Linked DNA regions of Saccharomyces cerevisiae S288C. The protein of the gene in region 4 purifies or fractionates together with the protein of the main gene of each other region. This does not show direct contact. Each region holds a gene or a part of one and is shown on either strand. Other genes may lie near its edges. The genes, in order: TIF6, NUG1, NOP2 and HAS1.

What was found.
Region 1: the proteins of HAS1 (region 4) and TIF6 purify together in Saccharomyces cerevisiae (affinity purification with mass spectrometry; 5 studies listed by BioGRID). This does not show direct contact.
Region 2: the proteins of HAS1 (region 4) and NUG1 purify together in Saccharomyces cerevisiae (affinity purification with mass spectrometry; 9 studies listed by BioGRID, with this or other methods). This does not show direct contact.
Region 3: the proteins of HAS1 (region 4) and NOP2 purify together in Saccharomyces cerevisiae (affinity purification with mass spectrometry; 7 studies listed by BioGRID, with this or other methods). This does not show direct contact.

What each region holds. Positions count from the first base shown.
Region 1 is NC_001148.4:590,584-594,991, forward strand, and holds TIF6 (translation initiation factor 6), read right to left. Parts: upstream 2,487-4,408; coding exon 1,749-2,486; downstream 1-1,748. Other genes in the region: YPR015C (uncharacterized protein), read right to left, coding at 1-443; guanine nucleotide exchange factor DSS4, read right to left, coding at 2,903-3,334; RLF2 (Rlf2p), read left to right, coding at 3,893-4,408. UniProt on the Saccharomyces cerevisiae protein: Binds to the 60S ribosomal subunit and prevents its association with the 40S ribosomal subunit to form the 80S initiation complex in the cytoplasm. Is also involved in ribosome biogenesis.
Region 2 is NC_001137.3:160,557-165,528, forward strand, and holds NUG1 (RNA-binding GTPase NUG1), read left to right. Parts: upstream 1-2,166; coding exon 2,167-3,729; downstream 3,730-4,972. Other genes in the region: YND1 (apyrase), read left to right, coding at 1-1,886; PAC2 (Pac2p), read left to right, coding at 3,971-4,972. UniProt on the Saccharomyces cerevisiae protein: GTPase required for 60S ribosomal subunit export to the cytoplasm.
Region 3 is NC_001146.8:508,899-512,896, reverse strand, and holds NOP2 (rRNA (cytosine-C5-)-methyltransferase NOP2), read right to left. Parts: upstream 2,358-3,998; coding exon 501-2,357; downstream 1-500. Other genes in the region: actin-related protein ARP5, read left to right, coding at 1-229; tRNA 1-methyladenosine methyltransferase subunit GCD10, read left to right, coding at 2,685-3,998. UniProt on the Saccharomyces cerevisiae protein: S-adenosyl-L-methionine-dependent methyltransferase that specifically methylates the C(5) position of cytosine 2870 (m5C2870) in 25S rRNA. Required for 60S ribosomal subunit synthesis and processing.
Region 4 is NC_001145.3:848,901-853,910, forward strand, and holds HAS1 (ATP-dependent RNA helicase HAS1), read right to left. Parts: upstream 2,692-5,010; coding exon 1,174-2,691; downstream 1-1,173. Other genes in the region: aminodeoxychorismate lyase ABZ2, read left to right, coding at 1-909; protein kinase TDA1, read left to right, coding at 3,730-5,010. UniProt on the Saccharomyces cerevisiae protein: ATP-dependent RNA helicase involved in 40S ribosomal subunit biogenesis. Required for the processing and cleavage of 35S pre-rRNA at sites A0, A1, and A2, leading to mature 18S rRNA.

The DNA.
Region 1 (4,408 bases), on a different chromosome or scaffold from region 4:
TACTGCTCGTTGCTCACCGCTCTGTGGTTTTCCTCCTGAAAATGCTGCATTGATGGAGGTACAGATTGGGCAGTATAAGAGGAAGCTGCCGTTGAATAAATAGGGCAACAAGATTGACGTTCAACGAACGTTAAAGGGAAAGGTTGCGGTGTTGCTATAACCGGCGAAAAGATAATAGAGTTGGGACTTGATCTCCATACGGGATCCTCTGTCTGATGCAGAGAAGAAGGTGCGTAATGGTAAGCGGGAGGTGGTAGTGCGGCCTGGTTTATTTCAGGAGTAAGTGGAGCGTGCATAATCGACGAACAAGGTGGAAGATGCACTTCCCTTTTGGTCGTGTTCGAGACTTCCTTTGAAGATTGCGCATAGGATCCCCCTATGTTAGACGATGAACATTTCATTGGGCTACAAAGCATAGATTCTAGCGTTTTTGTTCTCCACATTTAATTAGTGTTGAAGATGAAAATTTATGTATATTAAAAGTTAGAAACGGGTCAATGAAGACGTTTGCTTATCGTATTGGATCCTTGCAATGCCCTCCAAAAAGAAGAAAAAAGTTGGACCAAGAAAACAATTATAATTTTGTAATTTGAAATATCTACCAATGAGGTCAAAAGAGCGACAACAACTAGCGCTTATATAATATAAAGAATTCTTGGGACTGTATCTCATGGCAACCAAATGCCGTTCATATTTAGGGTTTCAGTGGGAAAAGATTTCCGGTGCTTTACGCTCCTTGTACAAACAAGTGCTGCGAAACTTTCTGTGGAAATCGTGCCTTTTAAACCATTAGTGAAGGCTCCAGATAGAGTTGTCACAGAAAACAGCGTGGCGGACTTATTTTTTTGCAACGATTTTCTGGAAACAATAGAGGAAGAATTTTTGGCGTACGAAAAGGAACGATGCCCCCAACACCTCAACAATACTACGGAAGTTTCTTCGAGCGGAAAAACATCGAAATACTAGCTGTTTCTGGATATGAGAGTGGGTATGCGTGGCAATGGAACTCAGGGAGTTGTTGCTATTTCAGTGAGTACGATGGATCAGGGTGTTTATATCTCAAGAACTACCAAGTTGAAGAGATGAAACGTAGTTCGCTTGATAGCACATAAATGGACGGCTGACTTGTTGTACACCATATATATATATATATATATATAATTTTACGGCTCACTTCTGTACCGCTTGTGAAAATCTTACCGCACAACCCCCGGTGTTCTATTAGCTTTGTTCGATTTTATTAATCTTTGCCAAGAGATACTACTCTCCGGGTTCTGGTGGAGACAATAGTATGTCCTAGCAGCTAGACAAAAAAGCCTTCAAATGGTCTACGTGCGGTGCAATTTTTCTTGGAGAAGTTCTATATTGTCTAACAGATACTTGGAACTGAGCAAGTTGTCAGAATAGTCGGAGAAGCGGACGGAAAATCCATATTATGCAAAGAATTTGCTTAGAAACCCGTTACATATGCTTCGAACAAAGTGACTACATGTTACAATTAAGACGCCTACTTAAACTGCAATGAATAGTCACCCATAGGTATAAGAAAAAAAAAAAAAATAAAAGAGTACATAATATACATACAACTAAAATTAAAATGCATAGAAACCTAAGAAAAAATATTTGTTATACCAAAAAAAATACCACAAATGATACGTAAGAAGATTATTGCAACATGGGGACTCTTTCGCATACAACTGTAAACAGACTTGAGGAAGGAGGGGAATCCCCTCAGGAGTACCTGACATCTATGAGTAGGTTTCAATCAAAGTATCACGTAGGTTACCTGAAATGGATTCTGGTTGGGCATCTTGCAAGCGGAAAATACTTTCAATAACACTCAATTCTGGGGCTGTAGTATCCAGACCTGTAACTGCCAAGTAATCGTTCACAACCATACCGGCACCGACAACTGAACTACCACGGTTAACGGTACCAGCCACCAAAGGAACTTGTAATAAGGAGGACAATTCTTCTTGATCTTGGACACTTGTTTGTGGATGCACTAACCCACCTTGATTACTTAAAGAACAATATGACCCAACTAAGATATTACCTGATATGGTTTGACGGAAGACCTCAACGCCTAGTACATCACTTATCAATTCTTCAGTTTCTCTGTCGATATCTGGATGCACTAAAGCAACGTAATCATTACAACAGATGACGTTACCCAAGGCAGATAGTCTTTCCTCTACCCTTTGAATCTTAACGGAATCCGGCAAACTATTTCTTAAATGTTGTAATTCTTGATCAGTAGTTTGGGTTGGAACTAGCAGACCTCTACGGTTACCCGCGGTCATTCTACCGATGATACGCGTACCAGCAATAGTGGTATGAACGATGGGAATAGCATCTCCTAATTCAGCTTCAAATGCAGAGTAAAAGTTTTCAGAACCACCAACAGCAACCAAACAGTAAGTATTCGTTAATTTGGAGAATACACCGATTTCATTGGAGTTTTCAAATTGAGTCCTGGTAGCCATTATTGTTTTCTAGAGTTAGTTGAATTATGCTCTTGTTCCAAATACTCTGTCGTATTGCTTCTTGTAATTATACTATAAGACCAACGAGGGATGAGGCTTCTTTTAATTATGCAATATTGAATATTGCGTTACATACAGTAAAAGAAAAAATCTGCACAAAGGAATATGGGTTTAAATCTTTAATTAATAAAAATTTTCCGAAAATTTTCGTTTGGCCCTCGGAAAAAACGGGTAATGCTCATCCATTAGGATTTCGTCCAGAATGCCTATATTATTACATAAAGTGATGCTAGTAATGTAAACCAGAACTACTTCTATAGCTTGTTATAGGTGGCCCATGCCAGTGAAATAGGTGGTTGGTTACTCTTTTTTTTTTCTGGTGGCGGCAACCTATTTTTGTTCTAGTGCCTACCAAACTAATTCCTTCCCATAATTTGAAGGCTTCGCAAGCTTAGTAGATGCAAAACTCTTTCTTCATTCTTTGTCTGATCTTGCACCTTACATATTATTCCAATAGGACCTTTATCACAATCAGCGCATATCAAATATTTCAAGCACTTTTTAATCTTCCAGCTGGAATTACCATACTCAAAGACAAAATCACTCTTATCACTCAAATCCCCTAATATAGAAGAAGGAATTTCTCTAGATACACCAACATTATCAAAGTCCCAAACATCAGGGACGACCAAGAAGTTGCTCTCGCTGGGGGTAGCATCTCGCATAGTTCTGTTTTCCAGCAACTTGAATTCGCTGTGCACCTGCTCTGGTAAGTTTATTATGTTATCATCGTTGATGGTAATAACTGCACTATGACAGCCCTCAAAGGAACACGTAGCCTTGCTCATGTTCTCTGTTATTCCCCCATTTTTCCAGCCCTTTTAATTGAACTTTCTACTCATACCAGTCAAGTTTTTGATATGTACTTCATTAATTAAAATGATCGATATATAATCGTTCAGTACGACAATGACGATATTCACAGTACTACTAAACTAGCGGGTCCCCGGCGCCCAGTCAGCCTTTACGAAGAGAAAGGAAGAATGATATGGATATGCTGAAAAGTATTTTGATACAGAAGAAGGGAGTTTTGAGTTGTCGGGCTCATCGTGCTGGATCAAGTGGTTCCCTACCTGGCGCGATCTATAGTGTCAGACGGCTTGCATATATGCTCACGCGTTCGGACGCGTGAAAGGCTTCAACTGAAAAAAAGAAAGATCTACATCGTTAAACCAAAAGGTTTGCGAACTGACTAAAAAATAAAATTCTTATTGGTTCCACTTCTTGAAATACATCATTTTTCCAGCCAATTCGTTGAGGAGAAGAACATTCTGTTATTGCTGTTACAGAGAATTATATGTTTTAGTGAACCTCAAGACAGAAGAGAATCGAAAGGAAAAGGGAAAATGGAGCAACATCTCAAATCAATTCCTCTACAGGACGACACTAAGAAAAAAGGCATACTATCTTTTTTCCAGAATACAACTACGGTAAAGAGTAATAAGTTTCTCACGAAAGAGAAGGATGTCATCACTCTAGATGATCCTAAAGAGGATGTCAGTGGACCTATGATAGAAACTGTTAAACAAGAAACCATGAAAAGCATCAATAAAGAGTGTGCAGATGAAATGAAAACGACACCTAAGAAGGCCAATGCTGAAGACAAGCTTTTATGCTACAAAAATTCACCCATACAAAGTACAAAATACGATAGAAACACCAACAAACAAGTACCCAATGGAAATATAATAGCTATCGAGACAAAAAGCAGAAGCTCTTCTCCATGCTCTAAGAGAGAACTTTCCTCATCGAAAAAGGAAGAAGCTAAAAGAGAAAAGGAACTAAAAAAGCAGCAACGTGCAGAAGAGAAACACAGAAAAGAGTTATTACGACAAGAAGAGAAAAAGAAAAAAGAGCTAAAG
Region 2 (4,972 bases), on a different chromosome or scaffold from region 4:
TAGAAAACACTAATGATCGGTTTGGTATCGTCATAGATGCAGGGTCTTCGGGTTCGAGAATCCATGTGTTTAAGTGGCAGGACACGGAATCGCTTCTTCATGCAACAAACCAGGACTCACAGTCCATATTACAATCAGTACCTCATATTCATCAAGAAAAAGACTGGACTTTTAAGCTGAATCCAGGCTTGTCGAGTTTTGAAAAAAAACCTCAAGATGCGTACAAATCTCACATCAAGCCGTTACTAGATTTTGCTAAGAATATTATCCCTGAATCACATTGGTCGAGTTGTCCCGTTTTTATTCAAGCAACCGCGGGCATGCGCCTTTTACCTCAAGACATACAATCTTCCATTTTGGATGGTTTGTGTCAGGGGCTCAAACACCCTGCAGAATTTTTGGTTGAGGATTGCTCAGCACAAATTCAAGTCATTGATGGTGAAACCGAAGGTTTATATGGCTGGCTTGGCTTAAACTATCTATATGGACACTTTAATGACTATAATCCAGAGGTCTCTGACCATTTTACATTTGGGTTTATGGACATGGGCGGTGCCTCTACTCAGATTGCGTTTGCACCGCATGATTCAGGAGAAATAGCTAGACATAGAGATGACATCGCCACCATCTTCTTGAGGAGTGTTAACGGAGATTTGCAGAAATGGGACGTTTTTGTTAGTACGTGGTTAGGGTTTGGTGCCAATCAGGCTAGAAGAAGGTACTTGGCTCAGTTGATCAATACCCTTCCAGAAAACACAAATGATTACGAAAATGATGACTTCTCTACAAGGAACTTGAATGATCCATGTATGCCGCGAGGAAGCAGCACGGATTTTGAATTTAAAGATACCATATTTCACATCGCGGGTTCTGGGAATTACGAACAATGTACAAAATCTATTTATCCGTTACTTTTAAAGAACATGCCTTGTGATGACGAGCCGTGCTTGTTTAATGGTGTTCATGCTCCTCGAATAGACTTTGCCAATGACAAATTTATAGGTACTTCTGAGTACTGGTACACTGCCAACGACGTATTCAAACTTGGGGGCGAATACAACTTTGACAAATTTAGCAAAAGCCTAAGGGAGTTTTGCAATTCCAATTGGACGCAAATATTAGCGAACAGTGATAAAGGCGTGTATAATTCTATTCCGGAGAATTTTTTGAAAGATGCATGCTTTAAGGGCAATTGGGTCCTTAATATACTTCATGAAGGGTTTGATATGCCTCGAATAGATGTCGACGCAGAAAATGTCAATGACAGGCCCTTATTTCAAAGTGTGGAAAAAGTCGAAGAACGAGAGTTATCGTGGACACTAGGCAGAATTTTACTTTATGCCTCAGGTAGCATATTGGCAGGTAATGATGACTTCATGGTGGGTATTGCGCCCAGTGAAAGAAGAACTAAGCTCACTGGTAAGAAATTCATACCTGGCAAGTTACTGGAGTCTGATCAACTACGCAAGCAAAGTTCCAGCCTTTCTAATAAAGGATTTTTGATGTGGTTCGCAATTATTTGTTGCATATTTTACTTGATCTTTCATAGGTCACACATAATCAGAAGACGTTTTTCCGGTCTGTACAACATTACCAAGGACTTTAAGACAGGCATAAGGAGAAGGTTGAAATTTCTAAGGAGATCAGATCCATTTTCCAGATTGGAGGAAGGTGAACTTGGAACAGACGTAGATGGCTTCAAAGATGTGTACAGGATGAAGAGTAGCAGTATGTTTGATCTTGGTAAGAGTTCAGCCACAATGCAAAGGGAGCACGAACCACAAAGGACAGCAAGTCAGTCCGCTAATCTCGCTCCGTCAAACTTACGACCTGCGTTTTCTATGGCTGATTTTTCCAAATTTAAGGACAGTAGGCTATATGATTGAATGTGGTGGTGTATGTGCCATAAATAGAAGCGCATATACTTCTCACATAAATATATGTATATATCTAGTGAGGTGCCATAGTATTGCATTAACAGTGATTCACGTCACTCTAAACGTCGCTTCTGTTTTTTTTTTGAAATTTTTTTCTCACAGCTGCTGAAAATTTTCGAGCGAGGCGATGAGATGAGCTAATTATATCAAGAGGGAATTGTACTAGTAATACTTTGGTACACACAAGAACAAGCATATAGGTATACAGTCACGACTATAATATCATAAAATGAGAGTCAGAAAGCGCCAATCTAGAAGAACATCTACCAAGTTGAAGGAAGGTATTAAGAAGAAGGCTTCTGCCCATAGAAAAAAGGAAAAGAAGATGGCTAAGAAGGACGTTACTTGGAGATCAAGGTCTAAGAAAGACCCTGGTATTCCTTCTAACTTTCCTTATAAGGCTAAGATCTTAGAAGAAATAGAAGCCAAAAAAATGAAGGACTTAGAGGAAAGAGAGCTTGCCAAACAACAACGATTGGAGGCTAGGAAAGCTGCCAAGGAACAAGGCGTTGATGCAATGGATGAAGACATGATAGAAGACGATGAAAATGGATTAGCAGCTTTGGTTGAGTCTGCTCAGCAAGCAGCTGCTGAATATGAGGGCACACCCTCTAATGATGCAGATGTTCGTGATGATGAATTGGACGTCATTGATTATAACATTGATTTCTACGGTGAAGATGTAGAAGGCGAGTCAGAACTTGAAAAATCTAGGAAAGCTTATGACAAGATTTTCAAATCCGTTATTGATGCTTCTGATGTCATCCTATATGTTTTGGATGCCAGAGATCCAGAGAGTACAAGATCAAGAAAGGTGGAAGAAGCCGTCTTACAAAGTCAGGGTAAAAGGCTGATTTTAATACTGAACAAAGTTGATTTAATTCCCCCACATGTATTGGAACAATGGTTAAATTACTTAAAGTCTAGTTTTCCTACAATCCCATTAAGAGCTTCTTCTGGTGCAGTCAACGGAACTTCTTTCAACAGAAAGCTAAGCCAAACCACTACTGCAAGTGCACTGCTAGAGTCGCTGAAAACTTACTCTAATAACAGCAATTTGAAGAGATCTATTGTAGTGGGTGTTATCGGTTATCCAAATGTTGGTAAATCATCTGTTATCAACGCTCTTTTGGCGCGCCGTGGAGGTCAATCAAAGGCTTGCCCAGTCGGTAATGAAGCAGGTGTTACTACCTCTCTGAGAGAGATCAAAATCGACAACAAGTTGAAGATTCTAGATTCTCCTGGTATATGTTTCCCAAGCGAAAATAAGAAAAGATCGAAAGTTGAACATGAAGCTGAATTAGCTCTTCTAAATGCTCTACCGGCAAAACACATTGTTGATCCGTATCCAGCTGTCTTAATGTTGGTAAAGAGACTAGCTAAATCAGATGAAATGACAGAGAGCTTTAAAAAGCTGTATGAAATTCCTCCTATTCCTGCTAATGATGCAGATACGTTTACAAAACATTTCTTAATTCACGTCGCTCGTAAAAGAGGTAGATTAGGGAAAGGCGGTATTCCAAATCTTGCCAGTGCTGGTCTTTCGGTACTTAATGACTGGAGGGATGGTAAAATTCTTGGTTGGGTTTTACCAAATACATCGGCAGCTGCATCTCAACAAGATAAACAAAATCTAAGTACTATAAACACTGGCACTAAACAAGCTCCAATTGCAGCAAATGAATCCACCATTGTATCCGAGTGGTCCAAAGAATTTGATTTGGATGGATTATTTAGCTCTCTTGACAAGGCCATAGATGCTAGCAAAGATCAAGATACAATGATGGAATAAATAAGTCATATGTAAGGCTATTTTTATGTAAGGGGTGTTTCTTATTTTTTCTTTATCATCAAATAACATTACTGTAAATTATAGGTGTGCTTTTAAACTCATTACTATACATCTTATTTTTTTTAGTTTTACTGCCTTTTTGCTCTTTGGACAAAGAAATCATTAAAAAGTTCCAACTTTTATTATGTTTCATATATAAGATATACAAAATATAAAATGCAAAACGAATTTCAGAGATAGCATGACTTATGAAATTGGGGACAGACTCAAGATTGGTGGATATTTTTGCACCATCAAATTCATAGGTGTTATTAAGCCGTGGCCTTCGGTAAAAGCTTATGGGGTGGAATGGGACGATCACAGCCGGGGAAAACATTCTGGAACAATAGATGACATACACTATTTTGACGTTCAAATTCCTAATTCAGGATCATTTTTGAAGGAGTCTAAGATTAAATCTCCAGGTGTACGCAGAATTACGTTTTACGAAGCATTGTCAGAAAAGTATGGAGGCTCGAGTAATAACATTAATGACCTATCTATAGGTAACAAAAGGGTTGAGGGTTTGGGATTCGATGAACTAAATGCGAGAAATAAGAATTATAAGAAGTTAAGAAAAATAGCTTTGCGAGATTCCGATGTCGCTATATTGTTTCAAAATCAAGATGAGTTAAACCGTGTAATACAAAATTGTGTGAACGTCAAGGACCTTGATTTATCGCTTAATCTATTCACGAATATCAACTCTTTATGTGAGTTCATAGAACCTTTGAAGAACTTGGAGAGCCTTAATATATCTCAAAATAAACTTTTAAGCGGTTGGGACAACTTGAAAGAATATGACCTATCACACATCAAAACTTTACGTCTGTCTTCCTGTGGTTTAAGTTATAAACATATTGGTAAGCTGCTCAAAAGCTTCAGGACACTGAAAATGTTGGATTTAAGCTATAACAACTTGACCAGTGCGGGAATCCAAAATTTTGAGAATGAAATACCGTGTACTTTGGAGGAACTGAATATTAGCGGAAATAATCTTATATCGTTTCCATTGTTTCCAAAAAATTTGACATTGAAAGGTTTAAATGTCTCCAATAATCAAATTTCTAGAGCACCAAGTATTGCTATTTATTCTGTTGAATCCTTGGATATAACAGATAACAAATTTAAGGAAAGAAGTTTGATAGATGATTTGAATAAGACATTTCCCTCTTTGAAAAATATCCATCTGAGTGGCAACGAA
Region 3 (3,998 bases), on a different chromosome or scaffold from region 4:
GAAAGAACGTATTGTGAAGGAATTCACTGGATTCCTTCCTACCGGTACCAATATCACTGTAAATATGTCTTCAGATCCTTCATTGGATGCCTGGAAGGGTATGGCAGCTCTAGCACGAAACGAAGAACAGTATAGGAAAACAGTTATCAGTAAGAAAGAATACGAAGAGTACGGTCCAGAGTACATCAAAGAGCATAAGTTAGGGAATACGAAGTATTTTGAAGACTAAGGAGACAGCAAACTGAAACGCCTTAAAAACAAAAAAAGAGAAATAAATAGAGATATATGTAATACTATATTGGCAACGAATATTAATAAGTAATATCATCGCCTTTTTTCTTAGTGCTGTTTACAAATCGGCTTTATTATTTCTATTTTGAATTTAATATACAGTGAGACATATTTGAAATTGATATATATATATATATATATATATGTAGACAGAGAAAGATTAGAGAGAGAAAACTATGCTAACATGATGCCACTACGTTTGTGGGAACTTATTTTTCGTTAGAAGGTCTTTTAGCTTTTGGATTGACACCCTTTTTCAAAAGATTGTTTTTCACAGACTTTTCAATGTACTTATCGTCTTCTTCGTCCTCGAAGGTTGCGAAGTCAGAGTGAATGATACCTTCTTCCAAAGCTTCCTTTCTAGCAGCAGTTTCCTTTTCTTTTGCACTTGCTTGGTTATCATCAAACGAAGATGGACCGATCTTTTGGAATTTAGCGACAAAGAACCCATCGACGTTGTACGTATGTGGATAGTACCTCCTCGCTAATTTCACACTAGGATGAAACTTTTTGCCTCTGTAACTAGTAAACGCTTCTTTACCGATCGCTAAACCAGTATCGACTAACTTGACATTCGGTCTTTTTCTCAATGCATAGTCTATGACAGCTTCGTCCTCTTCCACTGCAACAGAACATGTCGAATATACTATTACACCACCATGTTTCGAGTTGCAATCAACAGAATCAATGGCGGATAGAAGCAATTGTTTTTGTAGATGTGGAATTTGAATGAAGTCCTTCTCGGTACGAGACACCTTGACAGATTGATCCTTACCGATAACACCAGTACCGGAACATGGGGCATCCAGTAAAATTCTGTCAAAACCTCCAATTACCTTAGGGAACTCACGGGCATCGTAATTGCATACAATAGTGTTGGTACAGCCTAGACGGTGGATATTAGCAATTAAAGATTTTGTTCTAGATTTATTGGCGTCGTTAGCGAAAACACAACCTGTGTTTTTCATCATAGCTGATATATAAGTGGTCTTACCACCTGGAGCAGCTGCCATATCCAAGATACGCTCATTTTCATGAGGATCTAGAGCAATAACTGGTAGAAAAGATGATGCCGCTTGTAAAATATAGTGACCTGCCAAATATTCTGGCGTAGCACCAATTGGGACTTGGGAATCGAATATTTGAAGACCAACTTTAGTCCAAGAACCAATAGGTTGTAGATTAACACCTCTATTCACAAGAGTTTGAGCTAAGTCTCTCCTTCTGGTCTTCAAGGTGTTGGTTCTGATGGTTATTGGTCTTGCAATTTCATTGGCTTCGAAAAACTCCATCGCCTCTGCTGGTGAGAATAGATTGAATAACTTTTCCGCCAAAAATGGTGTATAACCAAAGTACTCACAAATATCTTTCAAAAGTCTGTCAACGTATTCTCCTCTCGATCTGCCTTCTGCACCAAGAGTCTTAAAATTTTCCAAAACCTTTACAATTTCAATCATTCTTGTTCTTGTGGAAGTTAAATTAGGAGTTTCTTGTGCCATCATTTCTTCCTGCTCCTCAGTGGGCAATATGTCTGCTCTTGGTTGCATGTTCTCCGCTTCCACTAACTCCATTTCGGCTTCTTCAGCTTCTTCAGCTTCTTCTTCATCAAGTTTCTTAGAAAGAGCTTCCATGTTTTGTGCATTTAGTTCTTCAAGATCAGCCTCATCGTCGTCATCTGAAAAAATTGGGTGGGCGTCATTATCTTCATCTTCATCGTAATCATATTCTTGTTCCAAGTCAAATTCATCTTTTAGTTCTTCATCCACCAATCCTGCTTCATCGTCATCTTCTTCATCATCAAATAAAGATTTCCTGGCTTTTGATAATTCTTCAAGATCAACTTCTGGCAAATCCTTATCCTCTTCAACAACTTCTTCCTCCTCTTTTCTAGATTTCTTGAATGGCTTCGACTTCTTTTTCTTTCTATCAGAAACTTCATCCCCTTGCGTGGTAGAAGGTCTCTTTCCTTTTTCTAGCTTTCTATTAGCCTTCTTTTCCTTTCTTGCCTGAAACTCCTCCAGGGTTGGTGGGGCGGCTTGCTTGTTCTTATGACGTCTACTACCCATTTCCTATTATATGTATATGTAATTCTAATATTAGCCAACACAAGGGGAATTCCGCCAGAATTACAAATCTATATACCTTAGCGACAACTGTATTTGCAGCTCAGCTCATCTTAAACTTATTCTGCGATGAGATGAAAATTTTTTTCAGAAAACGTGAAACTGGGTAACGGTTTTGTAAAATCTGAAAAATTTCATCAAAAAAAAAAAAAAAGTCGATGAGGTGTATAATAACAATAATAATATTCAACTTTAAATTCTTTGGCACGTTGGATCCTACTCACATTGTTGCAAACGAATTGGACAAAAAAACTTTGAATTTAGTGCACAATGAATGCTTTGACAACCATAGATTTTAATCAGCACGTTATCGTCCGGCTGCCATCAAAAAATTACAAGATAGTGGAACTAAAGCCCAACACCTCTGTATCATTAGGAAAATTCGGTGCTTTCGAGGTTAATGACATAATTGGTTATCCTTTCGGGTTGACTTTCGAGATATATTATGATGGCGAAGAGGTTTCATCCGATGAAAATAGAGATTCGAAACCAAAGAACAAAATTCCCATCGGGAAAGTAAGGCTATTATCGCAGGAGATCAAAGATGTCAATAATGATAAAGACGATGGTCAAAGCGAGCCTCCTTTATCTATTAAGGAAAAATCTGTGTCTCTTGAATTGTCTAGCATTGACAGCAGTGCTACGAATCAGAATCTGGTTAACATGGGCAGCAAGGCCCAAGAGTTAACCGTTGAAGAAATTGAAAAAATGAAACAAGAATCTTTATCTAGTAAAGAAATAATCGACAAAATTATCAAATCTCACAAAAGTTTTCACAACAAGACCGTATATTCTCAAGAGAAATATGTGAATAGGAAGAAACAAAAATTCGCCAAGTACTTCACCGTTGAGTATTTAAGTAGCTCTAACCTTTTACAATTCTTAATCGACAAAGGCGATATCCAAAGGGTATTGGATATGTCTCAGGAATCGATGGGGATGCTGTTAAATCTTGCGAACATCCAATCAGAAGGCAACTATCTCTGTATGGATGAAACGGGTGGGTTATTGGTTTACTTTCTGTTGGAAAGAATGTTTGGCGGTGACAATGAAAGCAAATCCAAGGGCAAAGTCATAGTTATTCACGAAAATGAACATGCCAACTTGGATTTGCTGAAGTTTGCTAATTATTCTGAGAAATTTATTAAAGAGCATGTACACACCATTTCTCTATTAGATTTTTTTGAACCGCCTACACTACAAGAGATTCAGAGCAGATTTACACCATTACCTAAAGAAGAAGCCCGTGCATTAAAAGGTGGTAAGAAAAACTCGTACTACCGAAAACTCAGATGGTACAATACACAATGGCAAATTTTAGAACTAACAGGAGAATTCCTATATGACGGTCTTGTAATGGCTACTACACTACATTTACCAACACTAGTGCCAAAGTTGGCCGAAAAAATCCATGGTTCAAGGCCGATTGTATGCTATGGTCAATTCAAAGAAACTTTGTTGGAATTAGCTCATACTTTATATTCAGACCTCAGGTTTTTAGCACCATCAATTTTGGAAACTAGATGTAGGCCGTACCAAAGTATAAGGGGTAAGCTACACCCTCTGATGACCATGAAAGGTGGT
Region 4 (5,010 bases):
AGTTATTTACGAGTAAGGGAGGTTAATTCCGGCGGTGACCTTCTCGAAAATATTCAGCATCCTGATGCTTGGAAGCATGATTGCAAGACCATTGTGTGCCAGCGTGTAGAAGATATGCTACAAGTCATTTATGAACGATTTTTTTTATTAGATGAACAATACCAAAGAATAAGAATAGCATTATCATACTTTAAAATTGACTTCAGCACGTCTCTGAATGATTTATTGAAGTTATTGGTTGAAAACTTGATTAATTGTAAAGAAGGAAATTCAGAGTATCACGAAAAAATTCAAAAAATGATCAACGAAAGGCAATGCTATAAAATGCGGGTACTTGTCTCTAAGACAGGAGATATACGAATTGAGGCAATTCCAATGCCTATGGAGCCTATCCTAAAATTAACAACCGATTATGACAGTGTTTCCACATACTTCATCAAAACGATGCTCAATGGATTTTTAATTGATAGCACAATAAATTGGGATGTTGTTGTTTCATCTGAACCATTGAACGCATCAGCTTTCACCAGTTTTAAAACCACTTCAAGAGATCATTACGCTAGGGCGAGAGTTCGCATGCAAACTGCTATAAATAACTTAAGAGGTTCAGAACCTACTTCTTCTGTCTCGCAATGCGAAATTTTATTTTCCAACAAATCTGGCCTGCTGATGGAAGGTTCAATAACAAACGTGGCTGTAATTCAAAAAGATCCTAACGGTTCTAAAAAGTATGTGACACCAAGATTAGCAACTGGATGTTTGTGCGGAACAATGCGTCATTATTTATTGCGGCTCGGCCTTATTGAAGAGGGAGATATAGATATAGGAAGCCTTACCGTTGGCAACGAAGTTTTGCTTTTCAATGGCGTCATGGGATGCATAAAGGGAACAGTGAAGACAAAATATTGAGCAGACGACAGATTTTCATATCAATGAAGTTTTTTTACAATAGTTTACAAATCATGATTTTACATACTCAAATATGTGCAGGTTGATACAGACAACGTACGTAGAAGACAACAAACAGAAAACAGCGGTTTATACATTTATTTAAATGACATACAGTGGAGAAGCAGAGAAAGGAAAAGGAGTGCGATGAGAACAGAAGATGAATACTTCGGTTGTGTTGGTTCCACGTACACATTAATAGCATTAAAAATTGATCCTCTGAAATTACTTATGAGTTTTACGTCTTTTGGTATTTGGCGTTTTTCCACTGGCACCAATTGTAATGTTAACCTTTGGAGGGACTGGAAAACCGTAAGACTTTGCTACTTTGGCTAAATCCAGCTTATCGATTTGATAGACAGTTTTCAAAGAGTGGGAAGCGTACGCTTGTAAATAAGATCTATAACCATCCTTGGCTGTTTGATGTAGATAATAGTTGGATTTAATTAATTTTTCTAATTGTGATTGAACGTTTGCAATTTTGTTTTCCGGGAATTCGTACTCATTTAATGGGACCTTGGAAGCCTTTAGATATCTTAAAAACCCTAATTCATTAGGTGTTAAAAACATTAAAGATTTACCCTTACCTTTAGTGCCTCTTGCGGTTCTTCCGACTCTATGAATATAATCTCTTGGATCATCAGGAGGGTCGAATTGAATGATCCAGTCCACAGCAGGGATATCTAGCCCTCTAGCTGCGACATCTGTACAAATCAAGATACCTCTTTCCGCATTACAGAATTCGAAAAATGTATTTGTTCTCTTTTGTTGTTTTTGCTTACCGTGTAATTCGAGGACTGGCAAATCAATATAGTTCAATAATTCAGCGTAATATTTCACAGAGTTACAAGATGATAAAAATACAATAATTTTCTTTTTTTGATTTCTTTTCAAGAAAGAAAATAACAACAAAAATCTCTTATCACTGTCACATACCACATAGCCTTGTTCTAATCCATCTGCGGTGGAGTTGTCGGTTTCAGGAACGACATTAATGAAAAGAGGGCCCGGTCTCAGCGAGATTCTAGCCAAATCCTCAACTTTGGTCGTTTGTGTAGCTGAAAATAACATGGATTGCCTATCTTCGTTTGGCAAGATCTTAATTATCTGCCTCATTTCATCTTCAAACCCAATTTCTAAGATTCTGTCCGCTTCATCGATAATCAAAGCCTTCAAGTTCTTGAATACAAATCCTTTTGTATTTTGTAAGTGATCCAATAATCTTCCAGGGGTAGCAATCAACATGTTAACACCTTTCATCAATTTTTCGGCTTCCTGTCTTCTATTTGCACCACCAATGACAATACCAAATGTCTGTGAATGGAATTCCATTAACTCTCTTGCCACTCCAAAAATCTGTAAAGCCAACTCTCTTGTAGGCGTAATGACAATTATACCGGTACCATTTCTTGGTTTGAATTTCAAAGAATGCAATAGTTCAATAGCAGGGATGAGAAACGCTAGAGTTTTACCAGAACCTGTCTTGGCAGCACCAAGAACATCCCTACCGGCCAAAAGAGGTGGGATAGTCCTTGCCTGAACAGAAGTCATAGTGGTAAATCCCATCTTTTCAATGGCCTTTAAAGTTGGCTGTGATAACTTTAGTTCTTCGAACTTTTCCACACAAGTAGTTTGTTCTCCCTCAGGTGCGGCATTGTTTTGTTTTGAAGTGCTCTTTTCATCTACTACAGGTTCTTCTGTAGATTCAGAATCTCTAGAACGTTTATTTGACGGGGTAGCCATACTTCTCCTGTTAATATTGCTCAGCTTATCTAATTATTATAGTATACAGTTATCCAATAGCTATGTACTCAAGTACCGTGTATACACTATAAAATCTCATCTCATCGCTAAAGCTAATATTGAAAAAAAAAAAAAAAAAAAAAAGAAAAAGCAAATAAAAAATTTTCAATTCGGGTAACGAAGAATCGACTCTCGCCGGGTAAACAATTCTTAGTCGTCATACACTCCTCTTTACGTTAAGAAAATAGAAGTAGCAGCGCTTTGTAAAGCATTAAAGCGTCATGGATTGCAAAATACACATAATATATCACTTGTGATAGTGAGAAATGGAATGAAGTGGTTTAAGATGCTCTTTTACCAATAAACATATTGCGCCTATCAAATCATTTTCCACCCCTGTTAACTGATACAGATATAGCCTTACATATAACTTTTGCACTCCCTAAAATTACCATGGCTGTTCACCGCCTGCTATCATCCATGTTTTTACATACATCTATTAGGTTTGCCATCTTAGCCGCCGAAGCTATCGTTGCCGGTACAGGCGCTCCTTGAATAACCCCCTCCCCCCCACGCTATTCTTCAAATTCCGATTTCAGCTTCTCTTTGTTTTTCCTTTTTTGGCACCTCGGAAAAACCTCCACGTGTTAGGTTATTCCGCCGATTCCACGGGTGGGGTGCTACCAAGACTCCTGAAAAAGAAACTGTATGACGAAAAGAAAAAAAAAAAGCTGCTTGAATTCCAACACCGCTTTCTTGTTCTGACAATAGAAAGGGGGATTCCTAAAAAAAGAAAAAGAGGGCGGGGTTTATCATGTACTCAGAATATGAAAACGTGTCGAACGGGGATGACTTCTTCTGCTTCTTTACTTCTTTCTATTTAGAGTGACAGTTTTTTTATTTGTTTTGCTAACTTGTTTATTTATTAATTTCTTGTTTGCTCCTTCAGTTACCTACCACGACTGTCTCAGCCAAACCGCGATATTTTCATACAATTGACATTACAACAGTTCAAAAAGAAAAATACACATCCAGGATATGACTACAGCTAGTTCTTCTGCTTCCCAGCTACAACAGCGCCTGCCGGAAGAAAAACCTTGGCCGCAACTGAGTGGCAGCAATGCAGACGCTCAAACCTTCAAATGTAAATACGTAACCAACCACAACTCCTTGGGCGATGGGAATTTTAGCGTCGTGAAAGAATGTATGAATATACACACAAAGGATTTGTACGCGATGAAGCTTATTAAGAAACAAACTGTCAAGAACAAAATTCAACTTATTCAAAGAGAGTTCGACCTTTTGAGGTCAATAAGCGAGAAAATCAGAGATATGGAAAAAAAGAATGAACATTCTTTGGACATTTTTGAGGGGCATCACCATATTTTACAACTTTTCGACTATTTTGAGACGGCAGATAACATTGTCCTGATCACTCAGCTGTGTCAGAAGGGAGATTTGTATGAAAAAATTGTTGAAAATCAGTGTTTAGACCTCGAAACTCAAGTTACCTCGTACTGCGCCTGTTTGGTGAGCGTTCTCGAGTTTTTGCATTCTCAAGGTATTGTTCATAGAGACTTGAAAGCAGAAAACGTCTTATTCAGATTGAGAGTGAACGAAAACGAAAAAAACCTACAGGGTGAACACCACGGAGATTTCAAATACGATCTCTTGGCACACGACCTAGTTCTCGCCGATTTTGGTCTTGCTGCTGAATATAACACAAGTAAGGTAAACTCGTTAAAGGAGTTTGTTGGAACCATCTCGTATATTGCTCCAGAAATCGTCAAGTGCAAAGGTGTCGGTGAAATGACTCCTGATCAAGTTGGCAAACTAGACAAGTATGGTTGTCCGGTGGATATATGGGCCCTTGGTGTACTGACATATTTCATGGCCTTCGGCTATACGCCCTTTGACTGTACCACAGACGACGAAACTCTGGAATGTATTTCAAAATGTGACTATTACGTCGACGAACAAATGATGCACGACCCTAAATACGAACAATTTTGGAATTTTGTTCAATGCTGTTTTACTATTGACCCGGCCGTTAGGCGTTCTGCTAAGAATTTGAAACAGCATCCCTTTATTAAGGATTATTTTGCTACTTCAAATTCTTTGAATACTAAGGACACGCCGAATTTCTCCTTTCATCCAACAATAAGAAGGGTATCTTCTACAGCGTCCATGCACACATTGAGGTCTCCTTCCAAATCAAGAAAGACAACTACTCTAGCGTATTTAAATATGGATGGCGGGTCCTCTGAAACTTCCACCGCCTTCAGCAGCAAGATGGATTTGCCTGACCTTTACGTTGAT